2 linked regions of the Macaca fascicularis genome follow. Each later gene encodes a partner of the first gene's protein in a complex. Links are inferred from orthologs where the notes say so. Each region holds a gene or a part of one and is shown on either strand. Other genes may lie near its edges.

Region 1 (3,816 bases):
GGCCCAGTCCCTACCCTAGTAGGTGACACTGGTGGGGAGGGTTGTGGCCAGAGCTGACCCCTCCCCAAGGACAGCCCTCGGGGGCTACCTTTCCTCCTCCTGCTCCCCCTGGCCTCCTGGAAGTCAGCAGAGCCTGGGCAGTGTGTGGCCTGTGGGGCAGCCAAGCACTGGAGGGGGACGACAGCCTAACTCCTATGAGAGCAGAGGGAGGGGTGGCGGCACAGCGAGGAAGGCGGTGGTGTGGGCAGCGCTGAGGCACTATTCTTTAGTTGAGAAGCAAGGGGCAGTCATGGGTGTGGAGAGGGCAATGGCCCAAGCAACCCTAGGCAGCATCTATGAGAAGTTCTTAAAGACGTCCAGGTCGAAGGCCGTGTCCAGGAGGCGCTGCAGCTCCGTCAGGTGGGTCTTCTTGTTGCCAGTGGCTGGAGCAGCTGCTGGGTCCCGGCCGGCATACCTGAGAGATGGAGGGATGGGGCAGTGAGGGCAGCGGCCACTGAGTGGGCCCAGCCCATCCCTCTGCTGCATGTGCCTGGCTAACCGCCTACTGGCCTGAGAGGAGGGTCCCACAGCCTTCCTGGCGGGGACTGAGCCTTACCAGACGGGCTTGGCGCGGCTGATGGTGGTCCGAAGTCTTGGCTTCACGTAGTCATAGTAGCCTTGGTTCTTGTGCTCCTCCTGGCACCAGGCCAGCTCAGCATTGGGGTACTTCTGCACCTCCTTCAGCAGGAGGTCAAAGGGGAATGGCGACAGCTAGGAGACAGCAGGGGTCAGATCAAAAAGGGGAAACTCAGAGGGCAGGCATGATCCAGCAAAGGGAAACTGGTGTTCCGAGCAGGGAAGGTCAGGAACCTGAGGGCCACACCCCAGGCAAGGCTGTTCTGTGAAGGCACCAGAGCCCTGACCCCTACATGGGGGACACCCTGATGGCACCACCCGCCCTCACCTGCTCGATCCTTGTGATGGCCACCTGCCCCACCATGTCGCGTGCTTTGCGCTCTCGGGTGAGGTCATAGTACACTTTGCCGGTGCAGAAAAGAAGCCTTTTGACATTCTCTGGGTTCTGAGCTGCAGGGCCATCTTCTGGGATCACCCGCTGGAAGTGGGTTCCTACAAGAGAGTTCCCATGGCTGGGCTGGTTCTCTCAGGGATGTGGCTGAGAGCTCTCCTGGGCCTGATCTCACTTCTGCTGTGTGAGCAGAGGGCTCCTGGAGCCAGGGCTCCATGGACTGCTGCCAGGACACACAGCTTTCAAGGGTTAGAGATGCTTCCCCTTCACCAGCCTCTGATGCCCTATATTTGCTCAGACCAGGCGCACTTTGAAAAGCACATGATATGTAAGAAATACACAGCAGACATGGCCAGCTCTGGCTATCAAGTAACACCAGGCTAGCCTTCAAAACAGCTTCGCTCAGACTTCAGGGACAAAAGTATATTAAAACATCCCAGCTGGGTGCAGTGGCTCATGTCTACAATCCTACACTTTGGGAAGCTGAGGCTGGCAGATTGCCTGAGTTTAGAAGTTCGAGACCAGCCTGGGCAACATGGTGAAACCCCGCCTCTACTAAAAAAATACAAAAAATTAGCCTGGCGTGGCGGCGTGTGCCTGTGGTCCCAGCTACTGGGGAGGCTGAGGTGGAAGAATCGGTTGGGTCCAGGAGGCAGAGGTTGCAGTGAGCCAAGATTATGCACTACAGCTTGGGCAACAGAGCAAGACTCCATCTCCAAAAAAAAGAAAAAAAAAAAAATCCCATGTTTATTCCATTTCTGCTGCTCAGGATTTTACAAATATAAAAAACTTTCAACACAATCAGAGAAAATATTCAGATAGAGAACAGTGTGTTGGCCAGGTGTGGTGGCTCAGGCCACCACAGCACTTTGGGAGGCTGAGGCAGGAGGATCCCTTGAGCTCAGGAGTTTGGGACCAGCCTGGGCAACATGGTGATATTCTGTCCCTACAAAAGTACAAAAATTAGCCAGGCACGGTGGTGCACACCTTGTGTTCCCAGCTACTTGGGAGGCTTTGGTGGGAGAATCACTCTAGCCTGGGAGGCAGAGGTTACAGTGATCCGTGATCACTCCTCTGCACTCCAACCTGGGTGACAGGGTGAGAATCCATCTCAAAAAAAAAAAAAAAAAAAAAAAAAAGTGGGTTGAATGGTACAAATACACAGAAGGAATAAAGTCAACGTCTGATAAAGGAGTAAGGTTAACAAACATGTATTGTACTCGAGTGATGGACACCCTAATACCCTGACCTAAGCACTGCACATCATATACACGTAACCAAAACCAGTTGTGTTTCTATACACGAACAATGAACAATAAGAAAAGGAAATTAGGCCAACAATTCCATTTATGATACAAAAAAATCAAAGGCTGGGCACAGTGGCTCAAACAGGTAATCCCAGTACTCTGGGAGGCTGAAGTAGGAGGATCACTTGAGCCCAGGAATTGAGGCTGCAGTGAGCTATGAATGCATCACTGCACTCCAGCCTGGGTGACAGAGTGAGACTCTGTCTCAAAAAAACACAAAAAATAAAAATCACAACAAAAAAATTAGCTCAAAGTGGGTCAAAGATCTAAACATAAGAGCAAAAACTATAAAACTCAGAAGAAAACATAGGGCAAAAGTTTCGCAACACTGAATTGGTAATGATTTCTTAGATATGACACCAAAGTCACAGGCACCTGAAGAAAAAATAGACAAATCTGACTCCATGAAAATTAAAAACTTTTGTACATCAGAAGATACTAACAACAGGCCAGGTGTGGTGGCTCATGCCTGTAATCCCAGCACTTTGGGAGGCCGAGGTGGGCAGATCACCTGAGGTCAGGAGTTTAAGACCAGCCTGGCCAACATGGTGGAACCCTGTCTATACTAAAAATACAAAAATTAGCTAGGCATGCTGGTGTGCGCCTGTAATCCCAGCTACTCATGAGGCTGAGGCAGGAGAATCACTTGAACCCAGGAGGCAGAGGTTGCAGCGAGCTGAGATTGCGCCAATGCACTCCAGCCTGGGTAACAGTAAGACTCCACCTCGATGAAAAAAAAAACAAACCCAAACCCCAAGATACTAACAACATAATAAAAGAGCAACCATAGAATGGGAGAAAATATTTGCAAATTATATTTCTGATAAGGAATTAATATCTAGAATATACAGAGAACTCTTAAGAGTCAAAAACAAGCAACCAGATTAAAAAATGGGCAAATGATTTGAATAGGCTGGGTGCCGTGGCTCATGCCTGTAATCTGAATACTTTGAGGCCAAAGTAGGATTCCTTGAGCCCAGGAGTTCAAGACTAGCTTGGGCAACACAGTGAGACCCTGTCTCTTAAAAAAAAAAAAAAGGATTTTAATAGACAGTTCTCCAAGGAAGACATACAAATGGCCAATACGCATATGAAAAGATGCTCAACATCACTTAATCATTAGACAAATGTAAATCAAAACCCAATGATGAAATATCATCTCACACCCATTAAGATGGCTACTATGAAAAAAACCAGAAAGTAGTAGGTGCTGATGAGGATGCAGAGATGGTGGGATCCTCATATACTGTTGGTGGGATGTAAAATGCAGCCACTGTGGAAAGTTTGGCAGTTCCTCAAAAAACTAAAAATAGAATTACCATATGGTCCAGCAATTCCACTTGAGTACATATTCAAAATAACTGAAAGCAGGGACTCAAAGAAATATTTGTACACTGATGTTCATAGCAGCTCCTCTAATCACAATATCTGAAACATGGAAGCAACCCAAGCATCCATCGACAGATGAATGGATGAGTGAAATGTGGAAATGTGGCATACACA
Region 2 (3,816 bases), on another chromosome or scaffold:
ATTAGTGTGATGATAAAATAACAGATATATGCATACATTCAAACATTTCACACATGGAAGTCTAAAAGAATGCTTTTGAAATTCTGAATTATCTTATGATGATTTGATTATACAAGAACAGAACATGTAAATACTATCTGTACTCTGTAAACACAGGAAAAAAGGTGTTTTTATGGTACCCAAATAGTCATTTGTTTTAATATAAGAAAAAAAAGTCCTAATAATGAGAATTGAAAACAACAAAACAGGCTATAGCAAAAAGTAACAAAGATGTTTAAACATGAAGACTAGATGACGATTTTTCTGAGTTCTAGTGATGGGAAGTCCAATGACTGAATGACCTGACTCCTCCTTTTCCCTTCCTTAGAGTTTTAAGAACTGTTAAATCTATTCCGCAATAAATTTCAGCATGGATCTTTATATAACTGCAATTTTCAAGTTTATGAAAACTTACTTAAAAAGTTCCGCGATATAATATAGAACCAAGAATACAACATCCATTTTCTCCCTCCCCTCCTCTTTTTAAACTCAAATACTAATCTTTTAAAACACTTATTATTATTTAGAGATGGGGTCTCGCTATGTTGCCCAGGTTGGTCTCAAACTCCTGGCCTCAAGTGATTCTCCTGCCTTGACCTCCCAAAGTGCTGGAAGTATGAGTCACTGTGCCTGGCCTTAAATATCTTATAAGATGGGGGCATAATTATTTTTTATATATTTTGTGTATATGGAATAGGGTATTTTTCCTACAAACTTATTATGTAAAAAAGTTTATTATGCCAAAAATGTCAGTACTTAAGCCTTACTTCTTTATCTATATATAGAAGAAAGAAGTAACATATATATAAATTGAGACGAAGTCTTGCTCTATCACCTAGGCTGCAAGGCAGTGATGCAATTATAGCTCACTGCAGCCTCAAGCTCCTGGGCTTAAGTGATCCTCTTGCCTCATCCTTCCAAGTAGCTGAGACTACAGGTGCAGGCCACCGTGCCTAGCTAATTTTTTTTTTAAGTTTTGTAGAGATAGGGTCTATTAGCCTGTTGCCCAGGCTAGTCTTGAACTCCTGGGCTCAAGTGATCCTCCCACCTTGGCCTCCCAAAGTGCTCGGATTACAGGCAAGAGCCACTGTGCACAGCCTTACTTCAATATTTAAAATAAGAAATTACTAAGAGTTTTCTTACACAGATGAACATTTCATGATGTTCATAAAGATAATTGAAGAGTACTCAGCTATCAGAGCAAAAGTTAAAGATGCAAATATTTAGCTGCTGAAAAGCTTATCAGTTGGTAATTCATATTCATTTTAATTTCTAAATTAGGTTCTCTCTTCTTTATTACCTGATATCTGACAGTTGCAATTGATGAGACAGTTCATCTTTTAAACGATCTAGTTCTTTTCTAAGTGGCAAACTGTTCTTTAGCTTTTTAACAGCACTTTTCCCATTGTTATCTAACCAGGATCTAGAAGGAAAAGAGAGAGAGGGAGATATATATATGTATATATATATATATATATATACACACAGACTCTTTATAATACTAACCATAATATAAGTATTTCTACTATTAAAAGACACATGTATGCACTTGCATATTCACAATAGCAAAGACTTGGAATCAACCTAATCAATAGATTGGATAAAGAAAATGTGGTATATATATACGATGGAATACTATGCAGCCATAAAAAAGAATGAGTTCTTGTATTTCATGGGAACATGGATGAAGCCGGAGGCTATCATCCTTAGCAAACTAACACAGGAACAGAAAACCAAATACTGCATGTTCTCACTTATAAACAGGAGCTAAATGATGAGACCACATGGACACAAAGACGGGAACAACAGACACTGGGGCCCACTTGAAGGTAGAGGATAGAAGAGAGGATCAGTAAAAACAACTATAGGGTACTAGGCTTAGTACCTAGGTAACAAAATGAACTGTACAACAAACCCCTGTGGTGAGAGTTTATTTATATAACAAACCTACACATTAAAAAAAAGAACCTAAAAGTTAAAAAAAATTGTACTAAAAAAAAAAAGGACACATACATTATCTTAAAGCAGCCCCAGTGTTAAACCGAGTTTTCAATCAAACCTTTACTTCTACCTATTCTTTTTCAGAAATACCTACTTTTAAAATAAGTTGCTTGGAGAACTGCCAACACCTGTCAAATCATATTCTATGCAACTTCCTTTGCATATTAAAAAATTAAATTTTAATTATATCAAACCTGTCACTAGATTTCTAGATATAATTTTTTTTAATTAAAAATACTTCAAAGTGTGTTTATTACAACCTTCAGTAAGCTATACTAGATCTTCACTGATGTCAGTCATACACATATGGGAGGGTAGAACTAATTATGGAATAAGTGACCAAATATTATAATAGAGCTAAAAAGGTGTAAAAGTCAAACTCAACAGACATATCTGATGAGACTAGTGACAATTAAGAGGCAATGGGTCCTATGAAGGAATATGAAAAGATTACTTTGTGGATTCTAGCTGGGTGGACTCCAGTTTCTGCCTTTTTAGTCTTGGATACTACTACCCTGAGCTCCCAATGCTTATTCCCTCATCCCTGTAACCTAGTCCCTCTGACTGGTCAGACCTTACCAATCTAGTCATTTTGCCACACCCTCCTTCCAGGAGGGCCTCTTCACTACCCTGGTGCTCAGTGACACCTCCATTCCTTTCCACCCAACCAAATGTCCAGTTTCAGTCTCGTCTCAACTATATCAACTCTATAATAAGCTCAGCAGAAAGATGTTCTCTAAACCTGTATTTCTTAGAATGTTTACCTCAATAGTCTTACAAGAACTAAATATCAAAAATGCTTTGGCCGGGTGTGGTGGCTCAAGTCTGTGATCCCAGAACTTTGGGAGGCTGAGGTGGGCGGATCATGAGGTCAGGAGTTCGAGACCAGCCTGGCCAACGTGCTGAAACCCCATATCTACTAAAAAATACAAAAAATTAGCCGGGCGTGTTGGTGTGCACCTGTAATCCCAGCTACTTAGGAGGCTGAGGCAGAAGAATCGCTTGAACCGGGAGGCGGAGGTTGCAGTGAGCTGAGATCACGCCACTGCACTCCAGAGCTTGGGTGACAGAGTGAGACTCTGTCCAAAAATTAAAAAAAAAAAAAAAAAAATCTTTAAGGATTAGAAGATAGCTTTCAGCAAACAGCTGAAAGCCTGTGTGGCCTTCTAGAGAGCAGCACCACCTCTGTAGAAACCGTCTCTCACTTGGTGCTATAATCATGACACAAGGGTGCTTGTTAGTGCTCAGGGTCACTGGCTACCCAAGGGAAGTCCAGAGAAATGAGTGACCTGGATGGAGTCCTGGGAGGCTGACAAGCTGCTGCAGGAGTGGGTGGTGAGGGGGCAGGGACAGAATGGTAGTGACTCTGGGCTGAGGGGAACATTTCAGATTCCAAAACAAAGTGGTGGGGAGTGGGCCCTAGGCATTACTATGCAAGAGAAAACTCCAGGAAAACCAGAGGTTCCCTTTCTTCTTCTTATTTTTTTGTACAGACTAGGTCTCACTTTGGTGCCCAGGCTGGCCCCAAACTTCTGTGCTCAAGGGATTCTCCTGCCTCAGCCCGCCAAAATGCTAGGATTATAGGCATGAGCCACCATTTTTTCTTAAAAAAATTTTTTTTAATTGGCTGTGCTAATCTTCTCTGTATTGTTCCAATTTTTTTGAGATGGGGTCTAACTATGTTGCCCAGGCTGGAATAGATTGGTGTGATCATGGCTCACCGCAGTCTCGACCTCCTGGGCTCAAGTGATCCTCTAGCCTTAGCCTCTCTAGTAG

The links.
Region 2: the proteins of OGDH (region 1) and TCAIM are in contact, whole or in part, in a cryo-EM structure (PDB 8I0K), measured with the Homo sapiens proteins. The link is inferred for Macaca fascicularis from reciprocal best matches to the Homo sapiens genes OGDH and TCAIM. Residues at the interface, in NP_001425937.1 of Homo sapiens: Gly301, Tyr304, Arg323, Tyr354, Arg356, Ile358, Arg364, Asn365, Lys387, Glu391, Tyr394, Cys395, Gly396, Thr398, Glu399, Lys401, Lys402, Lys561, Met602, Pro605, Glu667, Gly668, Ile669, Asn709, Met734, Ala735, Ser736, Pro737, Asn738, Gln772; in NP_001269842.1 of Homo sapiens: Glu214, Gln234, Arg235, Ser236, Trp237, Gly238, His241, Ser244, His247, Ser248, Arg251, Gln255, Asp272, Arg273, Thr286, Met287, Asp288, Val289, His290, His291, Glu331, Leu332, Gln333, Pro334, Val335, Arg375, Tyr376, Glu441, Ser443, His473.

What each region holds. Positions count from the first base shown.
Region 1 is NC_088377.1:85,642,334-85,646,149, forward strand, and holds part of OGDH (2-oxoglutarate dehydrogenase complex component E1), read right to left. Parts: intron 1,108-3,816; coding exon 944-1,107; intron 751-943; coding exon 596-750; intron 455-595; coding exon 334-454; 3' UTR 1-333. UniProt on the Homo sapiens protein: 2-oxoglutarate dehydrogenase (E1o) component of the 2-oxoglutarate dehydrogenase complex (OGDHC). Participates in the first step, rate limiting for the overall conversion of 2-oxoglutarate to succinyl-CoA and CO(2) catalyzed by the whole OGDHC.
Region 2 is NC_088376.1:107,207,747-107,211,562, reverse strand, and holds part of TCAIM (T-cell activation inhibitor, mitochondrial), read right to left. Parts: intron 1,463-3,816; coding exon 1,340-1,462; intron 1-1,339. UniProt on the Homo sapiens protein: May regulate T-cell apoptosis.